3 linked regions of the Drosophila melanogaster genome follow. The protein of the gene in region 1 interacts with the protein of each later gene in a pairwise test. Each region holds a gene or a part of one and is shown on either strand. Other genes may lie near its edges.

What was found.
Region 2: the proteins of achi (region 1) and org-1 interact in a two-hybrid assay, tested with the Drosophila melanogaster proteins (one large-scale study listed by BioGRID).
Region 3: the proteins of achi (region 1) and CG13775 interact in a two-hybrid assay, tested with the Drosophila melanogaster proteins (one large-scale study listed by BioGRID).

Annotation. Positions count from the first base shown.
Region 1 is NT_033778.4:12,510,213-12,517,626, forward strand, and holds achi (achintya), read right to left. Parts: upstream 4,851-7,414; 5' UTR 4,564-4,850; intron 4,187-4,563; exon of another isoform or gene 4,132-4,186; intron 4,050-4,131; 5' UTR 4,033-4,049; coding exon 3,918-4,032; intron 3,850-3,917; coding exon 3,356-3,849; intron 3,297-3,355; coding exon 3,148-3,296; intron 3,048-3,147; coding exon 2,661-3,047; intron 2,572-2,660; coding exon 2,470-2,571; intron 2,411-2,469; coding exon 2,289-2,410; intron 2,223-2,288; coding exon 2,043-2,222; intron 1,978-2,042; coding exon 1,859-1,977; 3' UTR 1,322-1,858; downstream 1-1,321. Other genes in the region: vis (vismay), read right to left, coding at 1-54, 113-227; CG13151 (uncharacterized protein), read left to right, coding at 5,232-7,046; CG8818 (uncharacterized protein), read right to left, coding at 7,192-7,376.
Region 2 is NC_004354.4:8,449,070-8,457,958, reverse strand, and holds the start of org-1 (optomotor-blind-related-gene-1), read left to right. Parts: upstream 1-2,889; 5' UTR 2,890-3,664; coding exon 3,665-3,827; intron 3,828-5,678; coding exon 5,679-6,067; intron 6,068-6,143; coding exon 6,144-6,376; intron 6,377-6,445; coding exon 6,446-6,602; intron 6,603-6,699; coding exon 6,700-6,861; intron 6,862-7,787; coding exon 7,788-7,855; intron 7,856-8,798; coding exon 8,799-8,889. Other genes in the region: CG32713 (uncharacterized protein), read left to right, coding at 399-953.
Region 3 is NT_033779.5:6,953,857-6,959,803, forward strand, and holds CG13775 (uncharacterized protein), read right to left. Parts: upstream 3,095-5,947; 5' UTR 3,017-3,094; coding exon 2,762-3,016; intron 2,488-2,761; exon of another isoform or gene 2,452-2,487; intron 2,364-2,451; coding exon 1,401-2,363; intron 1,347-1,400; coding exon 729-1,346; 3' UTR 599-728; coding exon of another isoform or gene 537-598; 3' UTR 501-536; downstream 1-500. Other genes in the region: SA1 (stromalin 1), read left to right, coding at 1-471, 537-598; CG3430 (uncharacterized protein), read left to right, coding at 3,242-4,431, 4,490-4,733, 4,800-5,183; Atac1 (Ada2a-containing complex component 1), read right to left, coding at 5,327-5,947.

The sequences.
Region 1 (7,414 bases):
CGGCGTGAAGGGAATCCTGGTCCAAACTGGAGTCCGAGTGGAAACGGTCACGTCCTGGAGAAAAAAACGGCCATAAACAAGACTGATCTCAACCGGGATATAGGAAACTCACCCTCGTTGTTCAGCAGGCTCGCATGGACATGAGCCTCGTGCATCAGGTCCTTTATGTTCTGCCGTACATGGCGATCCAGGACCATGTTGACCTCCTCTTGTTCCGGCGAGATCATTGCAGCTCAGACTTAAGCTTCAGAAAACAGAAAATTCATTAAAACACAACCAGAATCGGTGTGCAAATATTGAAAGGAAAAGCACAGTAACTTTAATTACAATTTTTGCAAACAGAGAAAATTGACACTTTTTAGTTTCTTTAGGTGTTGTCACCACAGACTTTGAGATTCAACTAACTTTTCCCGAGGGCAGGCAAGTCATTCAGACACCAAAGTCATGGCCAACTAGGGTTCAAAAACAAATTTTTTCAATTGATTTTTAAAAATGGTTCTTTTCAATCGGTCTGCTTGTATCGAACGTATTAAAGTAAGTAATTAAGTACAGGAGAATTTTATAAATATTTAAAATTAATTAAGTTAGGGCCAACTATCGATAACTATCGCACAAACATTGCGCTTGCACACGAGAGACCATGAATATTTAGACAAATTCACTGCGCGCCCAAGTAACGGGCGTCTCGAAATGTACTTTTTACCTTATCCAAAATTTATAAAAATTTTGATTTGTAAAATTTAGACAAGCGCATTTATTTGGTCAAATGTAATATCATTTTGATTTCAGAAGATTTGTATGTTGGAGGTGCGATCGTCACTTGTTATACCCGTTACTCGTAGAGTAAAAAGGTATACTAGATTCGTTATAAAGTATGTAATAGCAGAGGGAAGCTTCTCCGACCATATAAAACACATATATTCTTGATCAGGATCAATACCCGAGTCGACCTGTCCGTCCGTCCGTCTGACTGTCCGTTCGTATGAAGTCAGGAACTATCACAAGTTTGTGGACCTATTTTGCCACGTCCACTCCAACGCTTTCAAACCGTACAAAATGCCACTCCCACACTTTTGAAAAATGAAAACTTTTTGCCACGCCCACTGTAACGCCCTAAAACAGCGCAAAACTCACGCCCTCATTTTTGAAAATTTTTGGATATTTCTTTTTTCCGAATTATCTATCAATACCCCAGAAAAATTATGAAATTTCTTGTTCACATTTTCACATATATGTACCGGGTATCTGATAGCCGGGGAACTCGAATATATCATTCTTTTTTTTTGTTCTATAGCTTTATAGTTAAAAATCGAATCATTTTGTTTTTGCGCCACTCTTTATTATCTGTGGTAACCAAAGTATTCCAATACATTTATAATATTTATAACAAAATTAATTTTGTCCTTCCACAAACGTTCTCATTTTATGTATGTATGTGTACATAATTACTAGATACCTTAAAAAAATGGCTCTATCAGCCAATTAGATAAAACACACCATCATTTTATGGCAATGTGTATTTCAAATGCTTGTTTATGTTTTATTTAAGTATCAGTAGTGTACATGTTAAGTTTAAAAGAGTCAGGTCCAAAACTAAGTCGATTTGTTTGTGAATTGACTTTGTGGAAAAAGGTATTTGGGCGGTCGCATTGCGAATTGATCTATAGCTTTGTACGTTATGTTAGTAACCTACTCAATTAACACAATAACATGGGGGTTATAGACAAATTTTTGGGTCTAGTGCTGTTCGATTAAATTACTTAAGTATATATATATATCTATATATACATATTTGTATATACACGCTTCGGCACTTTGGGAAGTCGGGATCTGTAGCGTGGGTATTTGGTTTGAGGCTCTAGTCTCCCATGTAAACGAAATCGTCATCCTGGACGTCATCGTTTTGGCGCACAGCCATGGCAGTTTCCACTAGATAATAGAGACACTTGTACTTGGCACGCTCATCTGGACTTGTGCCTAAAGCAAGATTATAAAATAATTAAAAATTCAATATAAAGTTGATAAAAATAGGTATAGGTTACCCTGCGACATAGCAGATAATTGACTCTGGCCAGCTTCTGCTTCGGCACCGGTAAACACCTCGTCCGCCTGTAGATTGTCACCAATGTCCTGTTGATTGGAGTTGGTAGGATCGATTGTCTGGATTTCTGAGGCCTGTATTCTATTCAGCTCGCTTTCAAAGTCAGTCAACTGTTGATTCACTTTAGGAGTAAAAGAGTTGGATATTACCAAAGAAACCGAGCTCTAAGTCTGCAAACTTCACTCACCGTCACGCTTCGCAGTCTGATTGCGATTCCAGATGGCGGTATTCTGAACAGATCCCTTAGAACCAGAGGTACCTGGATTATTGCCAGCCGAAGTGCTGACTTCCTCAGTACCAAATACAGTTCTGGAATTGCAGAGGCCGAGATTACAATATTTTCTTAATACATCCACATAGCTACTTACTTTATAACGCTCTGCCAATCATGGGAGGTCTCGAAGCGTACTTCCTCCTCGCTGTTCGGCCCACAGGACTCGTATCCCTGTGCACTCTCTTCGCCTTCGGACCTGGGGGTAAAAGTAAAATCTTAGCACCGCCACTCGCACTTGAGTAAGATTTAAGGCTCTGGATCAGTCAATGGGAGCAGAAGCTGTACCTAGGAGACACCACGATTCCGCCGTATGAATCCTTATAGCAGTACATGGTTTCTTGCTTATTCCCAGTCTTCTGCTTTGCTTGCTTGGCATTCTCCCTAGGACTCTTTGCAGCAACCGTCCGCGTTCTTACGCGCTTCGGAGGTCTTGGCTTTTCTTCGTCATCGAACTCTGGCGGCAGCTGGCCAAAAAGGCTGTATGGCAGTATTGATGTGGCAGGACTGGAGTTGGAGCTCGACCCACCAGCACCACCAGAGCCAACCGCCGAACCCCCAATGGCGGCAGCCTTGCGCATCTGATAGTTTTTAATTTTATCGATCATGGTTGCTTGAAGCGAGGAGTGAAGACTTTGAAAGCCCATCGGGTTGTTTGCAATGGCCTGCTGCCAGCTTGGAAGAGGAAAAGGAGTTTGGACATAGGTGGGATGGGATAGGAGATAGAAGTGACTAACGCTAGGGAAGCAGGTCATAAAGACCGGTTACCAGTTACCTGTAGATGACACTGTCCTCGTACTCCGGCTCCATCTTGACCATTTGTCCGTTGGGGCCCTGCACATACTGTTCAAAGTTGGTCAGCACATTGGCGATGCCCTCGTGAATCTCACCGGCGCCATCCACCTCCTCTGTAGCGCCAACGACCTGGAGTCAAGCAATTTAGTAACTTCAGTGGTATAATGATTGACCAGAAGATAACACACCACTTCGGAAGCAGGACTTCCGTGTGCGGGATTCGGCCCAGTCAAGTTTGCGCCCAACGCACTTGATCTCGAACAGTTGGGGCTAACCTTTTTGCCACGTCGCGATATGGTGAAGTGCAGAGGATCGTTGCCCTCGCGCCTGATCATCTCCGGTAGAATGCGGCGACGGGCATTGATGAACCAGTTGCACACTTGGAGCACCGTCAGATTGGCCTCCTGGGACAGGGTGAACTTCTCCGCATCGCTCGGATAGGCGTTATAGCGGTGCTCATAAAGCCAACGCTTTAAAATCTTTACAGAGGTCTTGGGAAGATTTCCACGACGTTTGCGCAGCGACCCATTTATGTCGATGTGGTGTTCACTGTCCACCATCATGTCGTGGTAGTTTTGCACCTGGTTGGCGCCGTGTTCGGTGCTCTGATCCTCCTCCACGATGACGTCAGCGTGAAGAGAATCCTGGTCCAAACTTGAGTCCGAGTGGAAACGGCCGCGTCCTGCAGATGACATGCAAAAAAAACGGGCATGAACAAGACCGAACTCGACCGAAATATAGCAAACTCACCTTCGTTCTCCAGCAGGCTCGCCTGGACATGAGCCTCGTGCATCATGTCCTGGATATTCTGCCGTACATGGCGATCCAGGACCATGTTGACCTCTTCTTGTTCCGGCGAGATCATTGCAGCTCAGACTTAAGCTTCAGAAAACAGAAAATTCATTAAAACACAACCAGAAACGGTATGCAAATATTGAAAGGAAAAGAACAGAACTTTAATTACAATTTTTTTTTTTTTACAAACAGAGAAACCTGTCACTTTTTAGTTTCTTTAGGTGTTGTCACCACAGACTTTGAGATTCAACTAACTTTTTCTGAGGGCAGGCGTCATTCAGACACCAAAGTCATGGCCAACTAAGGTTCAAATACGCATTTCAAATCGATTTTTGATTTCTTTCCAATCGGTCTACTTGCTAAATCGATTAATTTCCAAGGAACTATACATTAAACGAACGTATTACAGTAGTGAATTAAGTAAAGAAGAAATTTAAAAATATTTAAAACAAATTAAGTTGGGGCTATCTATCGATAACTATCGCACTGGCACACGAGAGACCATGACATATAACATGTCAAATTGACACTTTAACCAAAATATTTTGACAAATTCACTGCGCGCCCAAATAACGGGCGTCTTGAGCTCCCGGGGATTCACCTGCGATGTCCGAATGGGTGCCACTATCATTTATTTACACTAAACACTGGTTTTCCCAGTGTTTCAGCCAGGCCCCGGTTACTGCACTCAGCAAACTGTAGTGACGGGGCAGTCGTCACAACCGTAGTATCGAGGCCAATTAGACAAACTCTTTTTGCAGACAACGTAAATATAGTAACGAACGTTGGGGAAAGCTATTTTGGCACTGGTTTTAAAGCGTTTTATTCCTTTTCCTTGCTGCGTGCCAAACAACAAATTAGTGGCGAAAGAAATCCGATAGCCGCTTATGTGCGATAAATCATGGATGGGGGTCCACTGGGGAGTTAGTTCAGTTGGCAGGTTCATTTGAAATTTGAACAGTGGCGCCAAGAATAAATACAAGTTTTGTTAAGTATAATTTGTTTAAGAATTATAAACATACACTAGTTATCTCTACGCTGGAAATTAAATCTACATTTAAAATAAATAAGTTATATTTAGAATGTACATAATTTTTTCTAAATAGAACAAACTATTTTTTTTATAAGTTTTCAACCTTTCAAGCTTAAGATTTATGTTTTAAATGTCTTTTTCGATAACTATATAAATTATCGATATGTATAGACGTTACTGTCCTAACCTATCGACGACTGAAAAGGTTTGTTTTGTTGCAAGTTTATAAACAAACAATGGAATGCGTGCTGGACGAGGAGCTGCTGGCCAATATTAAATGTAGCGACCAGGAGGAAGAAGACGAGGATGGTGAAAAGATGGAGGTGGAGGAGCGGCTGCCGCCGGTCGATTCCACAGTCCAAAGTGCCTCCTTTAACGGAGATGACTCCGATCCGCTACAGGAAGCAGTATGCAATTTTCCCTGGATTTTCGAGGACAGCGACATGCTGATGAACGAGGACCAACTGGCTGACGTGGTGCTGAAGAAGGAGGATTCCGCCAGGCCAGCTGCCCCGAAGCGAGGACGTGGTCGTCCACCAAATAATAACGGAAACTACACATCTCCTTGTGGGCAGCTATGGAGCGTGACCAGGAGCCCAGATATTTCTGCAGAGGATCTACCCCTTTTGGGGCAACAGGCCTGTGGCAAGGGACCCGCCCGAACAGTGTCCAATGCAGTGGAAGCATGGATGCTGCTCTTCGATGATGAAATGCTGCGGTCTTTACTTCGCCATATCAATGAACAGATGCGTAAGCGGAGAACGGCCACAAGTGTCCAGAGACCCCTAGACGTTGTGGAGCTGCGGGCATTCTTGGGTCTAAGCTACCTTTGTGGAGTGTTCCGAAATGCCAGGCACAATGGGCCATTGGATGAGCTGTGGACCCTGGAGCTGGGCAATGCCATATTCCGAGCATCCATGTCGCTCGCTCGATTCGAAAGCATTTCCGAGTGTCTGGCGGGAAATTGCGGCTGGTCCGAGGGCCAAAAGCTCTGGCAGCGCCTTATAATCAATTGCAGATCCTACTACGGCTGCAGCAGTTGGTTGACCGTGGATGAGACATTCTGCGCGGTGGCCAAGTCACGGATGACCCTCTGCTGTGATGCCAGGACACTGTACATGGCCAATGCAGTGGTAAGCAGAAACCAGAGATGTCCGGACAAGGATGTAGAACAACTGATCTGCGATTTCAAGACCACGGGAAGAAATGTAACGCTGGGATCACGGTATCTAAACTTGACGCAGTGCGAGCAGTTGGCGCAGCGGCAAATAAGCTCGTTGGGTAAGCTGGAGGCCAATTCGCCACATTGGCCGCGGCAGTGGCCCACAGAATCACCCTTGTTTGGTGGCAGCTCAAAACTCATTCCGCTCGATGGCGACGCAGTCTTCTGCTGCGGTCTTAGCTCCCAAGTAGATGCAGTCCAGGCATATGAGCAAACCTCAGAAGCCTGTCAGCAGTTTTACGAACACTCCCAGCGCTTCAGCACAGCCCACGCTACGCCCGCACCCTTGAAAAAGCAGATCAATCCTTTTCTGCAACTACTTCACTTTGTGCTCAACGCGGCTGCCGTGAATGCATGGATCCTGTTACGACTTTCGCCCAAAGGCGATGCCGCTATGGATCAGCGCGACTTCCAGAGACAGTTGGGACTCTTCCTCACACAGCAGAGATTACAGCGACGCCTTCAGCGAAGATCCACCAGCACTTCGCTCGTGATGCGACTGCAAATCTGCGAAATCCTGGGCCAATCCAGTCAGCGGCTGCTCAGTGAGGCGACCGGCGAGGCGAAACTAACGCACAGCGTAGGCGTGCTAACACCCGACAAGATGAGCCTGCCCTTGGGCATTAATTTGGCTAGTCGGTACGGAGAGAAGCATCGCAGGTGCAAGCCCTGCGCTCGAAATAAGCGTGGCACTAAATCGCGGACGCGGTGCCAACAGTGCTTGCAACATCGATGCGGCAACCACTTGATATCCCGCTGCTACGAATGCGTCGGCATTTTGCCTGGCCAACTGCCCGAGGGCAACATGGTGGATGAAGGAGCCACCTGAAGATGGATATTAAATAACATTTATTGAAGAGACACTACATTCCTTGTGGGGGCTTGCAATATGGGGATGCTTGCAATATTGCTCAATGGTGCAAACACTTGTGCTGTAACTACGATGACAACGGCTTAACGATGGAAACTGGGGACTAGAACTTGTACTGGAAGGACTTGGGTGCCTTGTACTTGCTGGCCATTCCCGAAGAGTCCACAGGATCGCTCTGGTCGAGGAACAGACTGAGGAACTGTTCGTTCTGCAGCTCATTTAGCGGCATCTCTAATTCACTGCAGGATTTGACAATCTCAGCGCAGGCTCGCAGATCCTTGCGCATATCTAAAAACGAAACGGGAGTTACATAATATTCGGTTGTG
Region 2 (8,889 bases), on another chromosome or scaffold:
TGTACTGTGCGGGTTTTTAAATGCAAGTTATAATATTAGTCAATTTGATTTAAATGCTTTTTTCTTGTTCCAATTAGGTAGTCAAATTCATTTCGCTAGAACTTCGTTGCCATCAACTTTCTGATAGCTTGTACTTGATTTTCTTCGATTTTGTTTATGAAATTCGATTGGAGAATCAACAAATGTTGATTAGGCTATAAGGTAATCCAAGGATGCCATGAAATTTTACTCGCACTGGCATTCGCATGACGACGACAGTTTTACACAAGGGGTTCCAGAAGCAAACTTCTATCCGAACAAAGCAGACTACACCTGGAGACACAGAGCTTGTGTATAAAATCTAAAATTATCTATATATATATATATATATATATATATATATAAATTCGGGCATCAGGATGCGGAAGGTCCAAGTTTTGGTTCAGACGCGCGACGGCAAGAAGACCGTCTACGAGGTGGATCGCTTAGGAACGGTGGCCAGCCTGAAGGCACGGATCGGGCAAGTCATGTCCGTGCCCATGGGCTTCAGTCGGCTGTCGTACAAGGGTCGCGTGCTATCCAATCAGAGCGTACTGGAGGATTTGGGGCCCAATAAGTCCACCCTGGATCTCACCTGGAAGCCGGTCGTCCTGACGGCCAATCAGAGCAGCAAGTTAAGCAAGTTCGGCTATGGCAGGATAGACGATAGTGAAGTTATGTTTACACTGATCGGTGGCTATCAGCAACGCGAAGAATATCCTGGTGGCCTAGTCAATCCACCGGACGACGAAAGTCAACTAAACTTCAACGCAGGTGACGATGATGATGCACTGGAGGCCCAGGACATGACTGGACACGATTTGTCCTCAATTCAAACCGATGATTTATCGCTCAAAGGCCAGACGGAACCGGAGCTGGATTGCTCCATTGGATCTCATGGATTCTCTGGATCTCAAGAAGAAGGCCACGAATAACGACAATGAGAAGTAGACTGTTGTAAATTATCTTAAATTAAAAATATTTAGTCGTCATTTAATTTCGAAATTCCTTTAAGCCAAACGCTTCGATTTGGAATCTAAATTTACGATACAATAATAAACCTTTAGTCGATTTCGTCCATGATGGAAATTTTACAACAAATGCATTACACTCATTTATATATAATATTTATATAATCGATAAAAAAGATCGAATATCGAATTTATGAATCATTTAAGTAATTTCTTCGAAGCAGTTAGCATTTCATTTCCAATTGTTTACACTCAAACAAATAATTAACGACTAAAATGGCATGGCCAATGCCATAACAATTTTTCAAATTTATGTATTATTTATGGACTGCATGGTACGATCTGCTGCGATCGAAATGCTTCTGAAAATGCCAAAAAAAAGGGGAAAAAAAATTAACTCAAAATAATTGTAAACAGTAGTGCGGCAAACGAAAATCAGGGAAAAACATTAACAAGCAGTTGTTCCATAAATCCAGGACGCAACTGGATGCGTAGATTTATATGGAAGGGGTGAGTAGGAGGGAGGGTAAACAAATCGATTCACTTGGAGACCCCGTGTGCCAGGTAACATATACTACTACATGCTATATATAATAGATATACCATCTATATGTATACATATGTATGTACCCACTAATTGGAATGGCCGTGGCTGATGAAAAGCAGACGCACCCGGTTAATCGGGCTGTTTCACTTTGATCGGTCCAGTTTTCTCGGCTTCCCCGGATCTCCATCTCCGCTGGGCCCACATTCCGGGCTCCAATGGCCAACAGACGCCATTTTCGACCGCCCATCTCACTCCCTCTTGTGGCGGAGGTGGTGGCCGCCGCTACACTGAGCGCAAATGTTGCTCACAGCTAATTCAAATTTCGTATGAAAAATTAGCAGTAATCCTTTTTTTTATGTATTAAGTATTAATTCATATTCTCTTCGTATTTCTTATGTTTAATGCAATTTTTTCCAAAAACTTATGATTATTCCAAATGAATTGAATTTTTTGGGTGCGCCTTGCCAACGTCTTAATATTCCGTTTTCCTTTTTACGGTTTATTTAGTGTCGAGGTTATGGCGCAATTTGTATTTATGGCCAACAGCAGCAGCAACATCTCGGCTGCACTGCAGCATTGAGCGGAGCACCGCGAGATCCACGAGCAACCAGCACCACCATGCGTGCGGCAGTCCAATTAAAAGCGTTTTCCAAATGAGGCCCATGACTCTGGTCGGCCACCCACTCCACGGGCCACGCCCACTGATCAGCGCGCCCCCCTGAAAAAAAAGAGAATGAAGAAAACAATATGCAAAAGTGGGGATCACCTGCTCCTCCTCCTTCTTGATCTTCTCCACCGCCTGCTGTTTATGGTCAAAGACCACGCCCCTTCAAAAAAAAAAAAAAAAACAAGAGAGAAGTAAACAGTGGAGCAGAAATTAGTGAAACGTGTGGAGAGTACAGTGATCTATATACTCTAAAGGATACCTCTATACTATTTACATGCATTAAGTTATTAATATGATCAAATTAGATTACATAAATATAACTATGTTAAGCATAGTTTGCATAAAACCAAACAAAGAGTTGCAGATAGCAAACCCCAAGTGTTCACCAAGTTCTAGGCCTCACTGTAGCCACATCTGGTAAATGCCTTGCGCGCACCCTACGCTCAATTCTGCGCGGCATATTCATCCACTTGATACTAGGCTAGATCCCAGGCGAGCCAACACATGTCGGTGCGATCCAAGGAGGAGTAGAAGGAGGAGAAGGAGAAGGAGGAGGAGGAGGAGATGGAGGAGGAGGAGGTGGCCGTGCGGCCATTGGTGGATCGATTGGTGCGGCTGGCGAGTCTAAATTTGGATGCTGCGGCCGGCGATTGGCGGATAGATTTCTCGATTTGGGGAGATGGTCCGTACAATGCGGCATCTTGGGATCTCGAGAGGCAGCGATGCATCTGCCCAGCAGCAGCAGCAGCAGCAGCCGCAGCAGTAGTTGTTCTCATTCGGCGGACCAGCGCTTGACGGAACGGATGTGTGCGTGATCAGAGATCTAGGCATCCAGAGATCGCATTCGAAATCAGATCAGATCGATATATCCGCGAGATATAAACATAGGATACTATACGGGATAATCAGTTCGCACTTGGCCGGAAGAAGGTGGCAATTGAGACAACTCAACGCTTTCTGCCAGTCGAATTAGAAAGAAAACAAATAAAAGAAGTTCAAGTCAATCAATCAGCTAACACAGGGAATTAAAAACAAAAAACAAAAAAACAAAAAACAAAAAACTACAATCGGGCAAATTTTCGCCAGTCAACGCGATCGGGCCATAAAAACAATTCGAAGAGAATTAATTTGATTTTTCATTCGATTCTTGAACTCGATCTCGATTCTGATTGACAACAGCGAAAGGTTGGCGTTGGATTTTCGCACCACTACATACTTTTTTTTTGCAGTGCACAGTGAGTGAGTGAGTGAGTGAATGAGTGAGTGATTGTGTGTGGGTGCAATAATCAAATTTGACAACTGCGCGAATAACGTTCGAGATCAAAACAAATTGTGCCGGAATAAATGGAATAAATGGGCCAAGAACTCGCTGCGATTTCCTTTCTTCCACTGTGAGCATCACATATCCAGCCATCATATATATATATCATATATATATATATTCCAACGATCACGCTCGCCATGACGCACCTGATGGGCCCCACTGAGTGCGCCGGCGCCATGATGACCACCACATCCATGCAGTTCCTGGACACCAGCCTAACGGACTACAACTGCTATGGCAACGACTACTGGACATCGCCGTACATGACCGGCGGACTCAGTCCCATGAAGCAGATCGAAGGTGAGTCGTTTGAGTTGACTTAAGCTGGAGAGGATTAGGCAACTCTACCGCGGAGTATTTTAAATCGGATATTAAGATATTAGGTTGTGTACCTTTAAAAGTCGCAAACAAGCATACAAGTAGATTTTTAATATGTTATAACTTTTGCATGAACTTTTACTTTTGTTTAGACTTTTAAGTCCTGTAAAGTATATTTTTTTTTTACTATCTGTTTCAAAACTTAAACTAGAAAATAGGCTTTTAGTTTATATTAGCATACTACTAGTTAAACATATTTTTCCAAGATTTTATTAGCTTTACCTTTCAGTTCAATCGAATGTACAACTAAAACTTCTTAAATTCAAATATATGCTTTAAATATTTATCAAAGAAGTATCGCGTAGCAAACAAAAGGCGAAGCAACAAAAAAGTCATATTTTCCATTTGACTATTCGATATTATGTTTTTTGTTCAAAAATCAGGCAATGGAATTTTGCTAGCAAACAAATGTATATATTCCATATCATTTGTCTGCCTGCAAGTGACCCAAAAAACTGAAATGGAATCCGTTTGCGATAGAGTAATTAGCAAAATACACCGAGCATGGCAGCGGCGGCACAAATGACATCCAAAAGTTTAAAAAAAAAAAAACTGAGAAACTGAGAAACTGAAAACCAGAGAATCGGAAAACCAAAAGATCAGAAAACCAGAAAACCCGATCAATTAGCTCAGAATTCCCGGATCCCCGAGATTTCAAGTGGCATTTCTCTCGTGTTTGTTGTTGTTTGATGTTGTGCATGTGACAGAAAAACGATTTGTTGTGCCAAACGTTAATTGATTTTAGAATTCATTCGTGCAGCAAAAAATGCTAAAAAAAAAAAATCGAGGAAAATGGGCAACTATTTAGCGCTAAAGCGGCTAAATGACCTGTCATGGGTCATTCGCGGCATTGATTGCCATTGCGGCAATTCCCGCAACTGCGAGCCCAGTGACAATTAATTGCTGAAAATCTCATCTCATCCCATGCAATCCCATACCATACCATACCATACCATTTTACAGGCATCCCCCGAAAAGGGGAGATCCTAAATTTAGAGCATGCAACTCAATCAGCAGCCGCCGCTACTCAGACGCCTCTTTTATAATTGGACATGTTGTCCCATTTGCCCCAAACTCGCAACTCGAAACGTACAAAAAACAAAAAAAACAAAAAAAAAGAAGTCGGTGTGTGGATATATCATCAAGTGATATTATTACAAGACTCCTTTAATCAGAATTCAGAACTGTGAACTGCGAGCTCCAGAAGTGAGAAATCTGCGCCGGCGTGGCGTCTACGTGCTTTCTGCCCCACTTTCTCATTTAAATCGCATAAATCACATTGAGTATGAAATTAGCAAATCCCAGCAGCTATATACATGCATATATATTTTATATATATAAAACCCATTCACTTGCTATAGAATTTATACGCGCTACGTGTTTGATTTATAGTCGCATATTTTCCGCCCATTTGTCAGTGGGATATGAAAAAATACAGGGGCTTGAATTGAGATATCTTCATTATTAATTAGTTTATAAAGGGATAAGGATAGTTTATAGGGATATCCAAACTATAGTTTTCTTTAAAGTAAATCGAGTTTTGTATAGATTTTTTACATATTTTACATAGCCACATGGATTACTTGATCATTCTTCACTTTTAATGAGCAGCATTTTATGTTACATTACTTTTACTACTTAACCGCCACTTTAACCGCGACTTTAACCCGCACTTTAACCACCACTTTAACCAGCACTTTAACCACAACTTTAACCCACACCTTAACCTCCACTTTAACCCGCACTGTAACACCAACTTGTGCTTCACTGCAGCCTGCATCCAAACGGCTGGCAAGGATCGCAGCTCGTACAAGCCGCTGGAGCAGATCGATGCCAAATTGGCGGACATCGAGACGCACAGTACAGGCAGCACTGGCACCGCGAACAGCAACAGCAGCACCAGCAGCATCTCGAATCCCAGTTGCCCGGATCAGTCGTCGTCGTCGTCATCGTCGTCCGTATCGCTGCCAACCGATTATGCCGGCGTACACAGTGAAGCCTCGATGGCACCAACAGCCGGCGGCACGGCAGTCACAACGACATCAGCTGGCGGAGTCAGTGCATCCACCGCGTCCAAAAAGTTCAAGGGACAGCACAAAAAAGACAACAACAGTGCGGAGAACGGTACAGTGAAGCCCAATAGCCATAATATCAGCAAAGGTGTAAGTAAATTCAACGATGGGAAACGAAATAAATAATAGATCATTTAAAATATATGATTTCCAATTGATAATTAAGGAATCGGAGCCAGTGCATCCATCGCTGGCCCAGGCCATTGTGGTGCTGGAGACGAAGGCGCTGTGGGATCAGTTCCATGCCCAGGGCACCGAAATGATCATCACCAAGACGGGCCGACGCATGTTTCCCACGTTTCAGGTGAGGATCGGTGGTTTGGATCCACATGCCACCTACATTTGCATGATGGACTTTGTGCCCATGGATGACAAACGCTATCGCTACGCCTTTCACAAGTAAGTTAATGTTAAAAAGCCATGGCCACATGGAATTCGATGAAAATGATGCACTTCAATTTGCAACAGCTCCTGCTGGGTGGTGGCTGGCAAGGCGGATCCCATTTCCCCGCCCAGGATTCATGTGCATCCCGACTCGCCAGCCGTCGGCTCCAATTGGATGAAGCAGATCGTGTCCTTTGACAAATTGAAGCTCACCAATAACCAGCTGGACGAAAATGGACATGTACGTTTCATTACTTATATAGATAGATAGATAGATATATAGATAGTTAGATAGATAGATAAATAGGTATATTCAAATCCTGCCTCTTCATCTCCAGATCATTCTGAACTCCATGCATCGCTACCAGCCGCGTTTCCATCTGGTTTATCTGCCACCGAAGAACGCCTCCTTGGATGAGAACGAGCACTCCAGCCACTTTCGCACTTTCATCTTTCCGGAAACGAGCTTTACGGCCGTAACTGCCTACCAGAATCAGCGGGTGAGCATGATATATATATGATATATATATTGTTAATATATGATATATATTGTTAATCGAAATATGCTGGTTGCTATTTGTAAACATTTACCATAATGATTTATATGTATTATCAATAAGTTCATCTTGGCATTCGAAGCGGCCAAAAAGGCCGCGACCATTTTGTGCCATTTTGGCCTTATTGTTTATGTTTTTCCCATAATTTATAACAAACGGCGGCCAAAGCTAGCACAATTTCAACCATAGCGAATATATATATGTATATATAACAGCAATTGGAAATGCGAGCACAGACCATGCAGATACTCTAACCCGAAAAAAAAAATATTAAAAATAAAAAAGTAGCATACACAAATACACAAGATTTTAGAAACCACGTTTCCAATGCACTGTGGCTTTCATTCGAAAAATGGGGAAGATAAGATTATCAGGTGGGATTGATATCAGGTGGGTGCATTGATATTAGTAATGAACAGTGAACAGCATATCTAATCGCAAGTTGAAAGAACTCTCGACATACATATGTACATTGTATACCCTCGGTTTTCCACATTTTTTTGTCTTGGTTGTGATTCATAATGATGGCCAGGGGGAGGGGGAGGGGGGAGGGAATTTTGTGGGTGGCTAAAAATATAACCATAGACATCGTTGGGGCAAGTATTTAAATTATTTATGTGGGGGTGTTAACACTTTTTCCACCCGCCCTCGAATTTATCGCAAATCATTTTTACCCCGCCGCCAGCGGAATGCCACATATGCCACATAAACATATTTTCTTTTATTATTTTTTTTTTTTTTTAATTTTTTTTTCACTAATTTGTTGGGTATTTAATTTATTTGTTTGGCCCGCCAGCTTGTCGGCATGCCTCAAGCGCTTTTCCAGTCGAATAAAAATATTTTCCACCAATTTTCCGGCCGTCTTGCAGGTGACACAGCTGAAGATCTCCAGCAATCCATTCGCCAAAGGCTTTCGGGATGATGGCACCAACGATGTGTAAGTAGTTCCAAATCTTTTTGTTATTTTAATTTTTTTTTATTTTTACCTATTAACTATGAAAGCTGAAATCAGCTTGCAACTATATTTTAATGCGATTTCATTTGTCTGCGAAAATGTGGCAAAGTAATTTGATTGTCTAGCATTGTGTTAAAAAAAAAAAAAACATGTGCTTAAAATTAGTTCTAGATTTTTGACACGAGCATTTCAAAATGCTGAATGAATAAATTTCAAAATATATATAATAATAATAGTACACAATTTTCGAACGTCTAGAAGTAGTATAAATGTAAATATGTAATAATAATAACAAATGATAAACAAATTGACCCACTTTTCAAAACTTGAAATACACAAATGTCCAAAGTGGAGCTAGACATTCGGTCGACATTCGGCATAGATATTCCCGGAAAATATTGAAAAACTTCAAATAACGCAACAATAACTCAAAAACAAAAGAACTTCAAAATGCCGAGAATGTGAAGCTGGAATGGAAATGGAAATGGGAATGGTTTAGGGAATGGGAATGGGAATGGGAATGGGACTACTGATGATGATGGTGATGGGTGGACTGACAGATGTGCCGGGCGGCATAAACAATTTATTCGAAGGGCTTTTCATATTTGTCGAACTTGCCAGGCCGCGACTTGGTAGCATAGTGTAAACAAATTCCCCAATTTTGTTTACGATCGTGGTGCTTAGGCAACTTGTTTATTACGAGGAAATACTTCAAATAATTTTCATTTCTTTTCTCCGAGTGTTTGGCTTATGGCTTTCGGCCTGGTTATGTTACAAATCATAACACTAATATTTATAATATTGCACGTTTTTACACTTGGCCAACTGAGCAGCATTCGCTGTAGATTTAAGCTGTAAATGTTGCTTCATGTTAGTTATATATTGTATATATATTTTTATAAATTGCCATTGTTTGACATTATAGAACCACTGGCGGTGGCAGCAGCATGTCCTCCATGAGTCACGAAAGTCAGGCGCGCATGAAGCAGCAACAGCAGCAGCAGCAGCAGCAGCAG
Region 3 (5,947 bases), on another chromosome or scaffold:
TCGCTATGACGCTCCTTTTGAGCCTGATCACAGTCTTTAAGAGTCTGCAGGAGCAGAGTGAGGATGGCATAGTTTCAAAGAGTTCGCAAGAGTTTGTGGACCTCAAGGAGTTGGCCAAGCGATTTGCGCTCACATTTGGTTTCGATGCCATCAAGAATCGCGAATCTGTGGCCGCCATTCATCGTGGTGGCATTTATTTCGCTGCGAACAAGGAGCCAGATGATCCGGTGCGGGCTCCAACTCGCTTGCTCTTCCTGGAGGTTTTGAACGAGTTCAACTACAAGCTACTGAAGCAAGACAAGAAGGTCATAATGAGCTTTCTGGACAAGATAATACCACCCGCAATGCCATCCAGCCGAGCTGAGGAATGGCAGCCGCTGATATTATATCGCAATTCCTTGCTACATGGCGAAACTGATCAAGCGCCCGTCGCCAGCAAACGAGCCTACACACGTAAACGTCGAGATCATGGTAAGAATTTCATAGCTTTCATTTTATTTAGAATCAACATTATGAAAAACATGTTTTTAATTTAGATGAAGAAGAGGAGGAGGAGGAAGACGAAGAGGAACACAATGATCCTGATTACAGGGGCTAGGACCCATCAGGCAATCAGCCATACACGCGGCTTAAGTGCAAAATCTAATTTTCCGGAAAATCAAGTAGTTGTAAGATTAAAGCTAATATTATGTACATAAATACGTTTAAATTATATAAATTACTGTATCCTAATTGATTTCCGAATTGCTAAAGCTAAAGTTGGCCTTCATGAGCAACATTTTGGATGCACTTTCGGGGCTCAAGCCCGCCTGCATGTCGAAATACAAGTGCGTTGATTTTCTAAATAAGCCTTCACTAACCACACTTGCTGCTGGTGCTGATAAGAATTTCCTAACAATGCCATACAAGGATATGTATTTTATGTTGCTCCTCCACCAAATCAGGGGATCCATGTTCCTATCGATTCTGGGTTCGGAGTTGTATAGATATAGCAGATTCTTAATCTGAGACTGGGAGCCCATTGACGTATTTGGCTGTTGAGTGTTCGTCGTTCCAGTTGTCAGTATGCTATCCAGAATGCTATCGATCTTTGATTCATTCTTCTGGGACGATGTGGATGACACTTTGATTATTTTCAGCGGTGGCTGACCATTGCAATCCTCTGGCACTCCAGCGAGCTGAAGCAGAACTTCATTGGCCACCAACTGCTCCTCACGTTCGGTGAAAAATGCTTGCTTATATCTCGGATCCAAATATGTGGCCATCAAAAAGTTGATGTCGCTAGTGATGTGGGCGAACTTCATTTCCAGTTCTTCAAGCAACTTTCTGGCGAAACTGCATATAGTCTAGACATTCGAAATATTAGACAATACTTTATGGTTTTATCTACTGCAACTTACCACAGATGAGACAAAGTTATGGACATCTGTTCGGAGGGAATCCCGTAAAGCGGCAACCAGCGGGATTACGGATGAGGTGGTCGTAGATGGATTGCTCCATATCTTGATTGTTTCTTCACAAGGCTGCATTACTTTGCTGCACAAATCGATCTCTATCCATTCATCTGGATATATTTGGACCAGACTATACTCTTCGCAGTACAAGGATAGAGCATCTTTCATTCGAAACACGCTGCTCATCATCTGAAAAGCGGAATTCCATTGACAGGGATCGTAAGGTGTAAGTGTGCACGGGTCTCGCGTCAAGCGGATCTCTTGAATGAATTTCAGATGATCGTTGGCCATCTTAGACGACGCAAAATGGTCAACTATTTGCTTGCACTTGGATGAAAGGTTCTGCAGTAATTCGTTCGATTGCAAAGCAAATCGAACGCACATCTGCAGGCGGTGCACACTGCAATCGGGCAGGGAACCTGGCAGCGCCGTCATCTCGTCCCTGATTACGCAGTGTATCTTCTCTTTGGGCACCTCAATGGCCAAGCTGGGCACAAGATCTCGAATGCAACAAGCTAGCTTCGAAGTGCTTTCGTAATTCAGAGCCTCGCATTTCAGCATTAGGCGGTGAGTCTGAAAATCCCTTGATATTCCGGAGCAGGACAAGCTCAGCAGTCCTTCGCCTTTGTCACCACGCCAGAGACTCGTAGACAACGATATGGCATCCAGCAGATCCACCTGTTGCTTCAAATGCTGATGCATTTTCCTTTGTATATCCTCGCACAGTATCTTCTCATAGTAGCTCCTTGGTTGAATCGTGTACCGCGGCTGCAGCGTCCTAATGAAATTTACGAATCCTGGTCCTTCAATGAACTCAAAGGAGTGATTTAGTAGCATGAGGGCCAACTTCTCATCACAGCGTTTGCTGTAGGATATATCCTCGGTGTCCAATGGATCTGAATCTGTTTCCTAAAATGATTAATAGAATAATTTAATGCATCAGATTAGTGAAAAACGCATAATTTATAAAAATATAATACTAAGACCATAACAGTACATTTTTAAAACCTCCTTAACTACACTTTATAAACACAACACATGTTTGCCGATCTAGCCAAACGCGGATAAAAATCCGCATCCGCTGTTGCTATATTAGTAAAAAGTTTTAAATAAGAGAAGGCATAAATTACTTTATGAACTACCAAAGAAACTATATTTGAATGGAAACTTAAGTTTGGGGAAACCATCTCCACATGACAGAATATCTAGAAGGGCATGTACCCCGATTTCACATAAGGTACACTTCTTGCACAGTACATATGCATGTACATAGGTATGTATGCACATCTATATGCTATCCCACTTACGTGCAGATTCAATTCTAGCTGGGCTGTGGGGTGCTGTGGCGAACCGATGGAGATCTCGCTCTTAACCAGGTCCAGGTACTTTATGTCCCCGGATAGAGATAGGAACTCCGGTGGGTGCTTGCTCTTCAGATGATTCCGCAGACATGTTGTGCCGCGTCCTCGCCTCGAGTAGTTCCTGTTGCACAGCAGACAGGTGGCCACTGTGCCGGATGTCTTGTAGAAGTACTGCCACACATTGCTTTTCTTCTTGCTCATCGCTGCAATTCTTTGGTAATTCTCAAATTGTACATTTTTTGCGGATGTCCACATCCGCCTCTACATCCGTTCTGCGGCAGAGTTCGACATCCCTGGCAGATATCGATAGGCCCATCGATGACCATCACTAATATGCTGCAATCAGTTTTTGGCGCGCCAAAGCAGCTGTTGTTTTTTGCATTCGAGGTTTTTGAGGCATTTGCAAATTCATTCGTTAACTAGATAATGCCCTGTGCGATGGAGCTGCCCAGCACGCCCGATGAACTGGCCGCCCAGCAAGCGGACAGCGCTGCACTCAAGGACTTGCTCAAGGATCCCAGTCGTTGGCACTCGATTCCCCTGCTCAACTACACGCCTCTTCACAAGCTGAAGGATCAGACTCTGGTGCGCTTTCGTGGAATGATCCAGGACATGATGGACCCAGAAATCTATCTGGAGCGCTACGAAGTGAAATCCGCCGACGGCAGCAAACGTGTACAGGAAGGAAAGTACAGGGACTGCTTGAAAATAGCCAATGGCGAAGTGATTGACTACAACGCCGATGGAAACGTGCATGGAGAGAGGCGTACCATGTTCGTGGTCTCTGTGCCTGGTCTGAACGATTGGAGCAAGGAGCATGAGAAGCTGTGCTGTCCCCAGATCGATTTGGCCAGTCTGGGTCAATCTCCCAGTTCAGCCAAGAAGCGGACTATTGTAGGCGAAGAAGAAGCCATGGATGTGGACGTTGCGAGCGAAACAACGTTCAAGCGACCCTGCCTAAAAGAGATTCAAAAAGATAGCGAGCCAGTCGGCGCCTCCAAATCCTCTGTTCTTGGGTCTGATTACCTGATTAACTCGCCTCTGCCGGATCGTCCCAGCATGGCATGCATGGTAAAGGTTTACGAGGAGTTCGATACCTACCAGCTTAACTCGCTGGTCGACTTTGTGGGCTTTCTGTCAGTGGATGCTTCACTAGACGCCGCTACCCTGGAAATAGACGATTGTGAAAACTTGAGTGAACTGCAGGCAGCTCATCCATCGCCATTTCTTATACCCCGCCTGCATGCCTTCGGAGTCCAGGTGCTGCCGCATGCCAATCCGCTGCTGGACAAAAGCCTTCGACAGCCAACGGAAATATGTGAGGAGACGTATCCAACCCACCTTGCTGTGCACAAAGATCTGCGCATGCTTCTTAAACTCTGCCTCTTTGATGACGATCTGGCTGCCGAGTATTTGCTCTCCCACCTAATATCTACGGTCTACAGTCGTTCTGAGATGCAGAGCATCGGCAAGTTCGCCCTTAACCTTTGTAATCTCCCTAAGAATTGTGAGGCGTATGCAACCAAGTTGTATCAAATTCTGGAGCTGCTACTGCCGGCCAGCCATTACATGCCCATGACTCTCGTCACACTAAACACGGCAGCCTTTGCCCCAAAGTAAGTTGGCTAAGCAGAAATAGTATAAAATTGAATACCTATTAATGAGTACTTGCAGGAAGGATTATGAGACAAACAAGCTGGTTTCCGGCGTACTACAGTTGGCTCCCCATACGCATTTGGTGCTCGACGAGACGTGCATGCAACAGGGCAAGCTGGAGGCCAATGGTGTTCATGCCGTTCAGCATTTAGCGCACTTGATCAATAATCAGGAACTGAAGTGCGACTTTCAGTATTACCAAATAGACTACCAAGCAAATATTCCAGTTCTCGTGCTCAGTGAAGGGCGAAGTATGTTGCCGGTAAGAATATAAGTTTATATAAATAATCATTATATCCAATAGAAACTATTAATGATATGTTTTCAGAGCGATTTTGTGCTGCCCATTAATGCCGATTCTAAGGCCGTGGAACTTGTTGATGAATCTCTAAAGGCAGCCCACCACTATCTGCAGCCATCACGTCTGCAGCAGTTTCGCAAGTACTTGACCACAGCGCGCACTAGCGGCTTCAACGTGAGCGAGGAGCACACTGAAATGATCCAGCAGGATTTCGTGGACATGCGTAAAGCTAATGTCAAAAGTAATGCCGATGATCTGCATGGATTGCTGGTCCTCTCACGGCTGCTGGGCATCGCCCGGGGGAAGGATACGTTGGACAAAGAAACATGGCAGCTGGCTACGGAGTTCGAAGCAAAGCGTCGCCAGCGTATTCAATCTCTGCCGAAATCATCTGCCCAATTGCGCAATTAAGAGGGCCTCTCTTTTATACCATTTAATATTAAGTTTTTATAAATAAAATAGAATTTTTTAAAATTATTCTCTTTATATTTAATTTGTAGCTTTACAGGCAAGTCTAGTAATTTAGTACTCAAGTAAATGGGACTCTAGGAGCGTCATGACTCTTGGTCCACTACAACTTCATGACTTAAATGCTCGAAACGCCCTTCGATTAGCTGACTGGCCAGGCAATCTCCGCACAGATTAAGGTAACAATAACAACTGTTACAACGCCATTGGGTCCTGGTCACAGATGCCTCTTCGCACTCGGCACACTTGGCGGCCAGCAAGTCTGGCTCATATCCGTCCTCCATTTCCCGTTTCTCGTCCTGAATGGCTGATAGAAGCTTAAGGCATAGTTCCTGTTTTCGCTTTGACTCCGCATTCAGATCGGCATCCATGTACTCGGATTCGATCTTTGGTTCGATCTTGGATGCCGGCATAAGGAGCATATCGCTCGCAGGCGATGGGATTCGCAGGTCGTCAAATGTGAAATCGTCCTCTGGCATTTGTAGCGATATATTATGAGCGGGGAAGAAGGTTGACTTGCGAAGTTTGATCTTCGGCTTACTCAAACCAGGACGTCGATGCTTGGGTATGCGACCGGGCACAGGCATTCCGGCATCGTGCAGCTTTTGGAAATACTTCTGGACACGACTATACACTTGCTGTGCCGTTCTGTTGCCCAAGGCCTTCGCTATCTTCCCGAATCTGCGCATTTCCACTTCCTCTGGCGG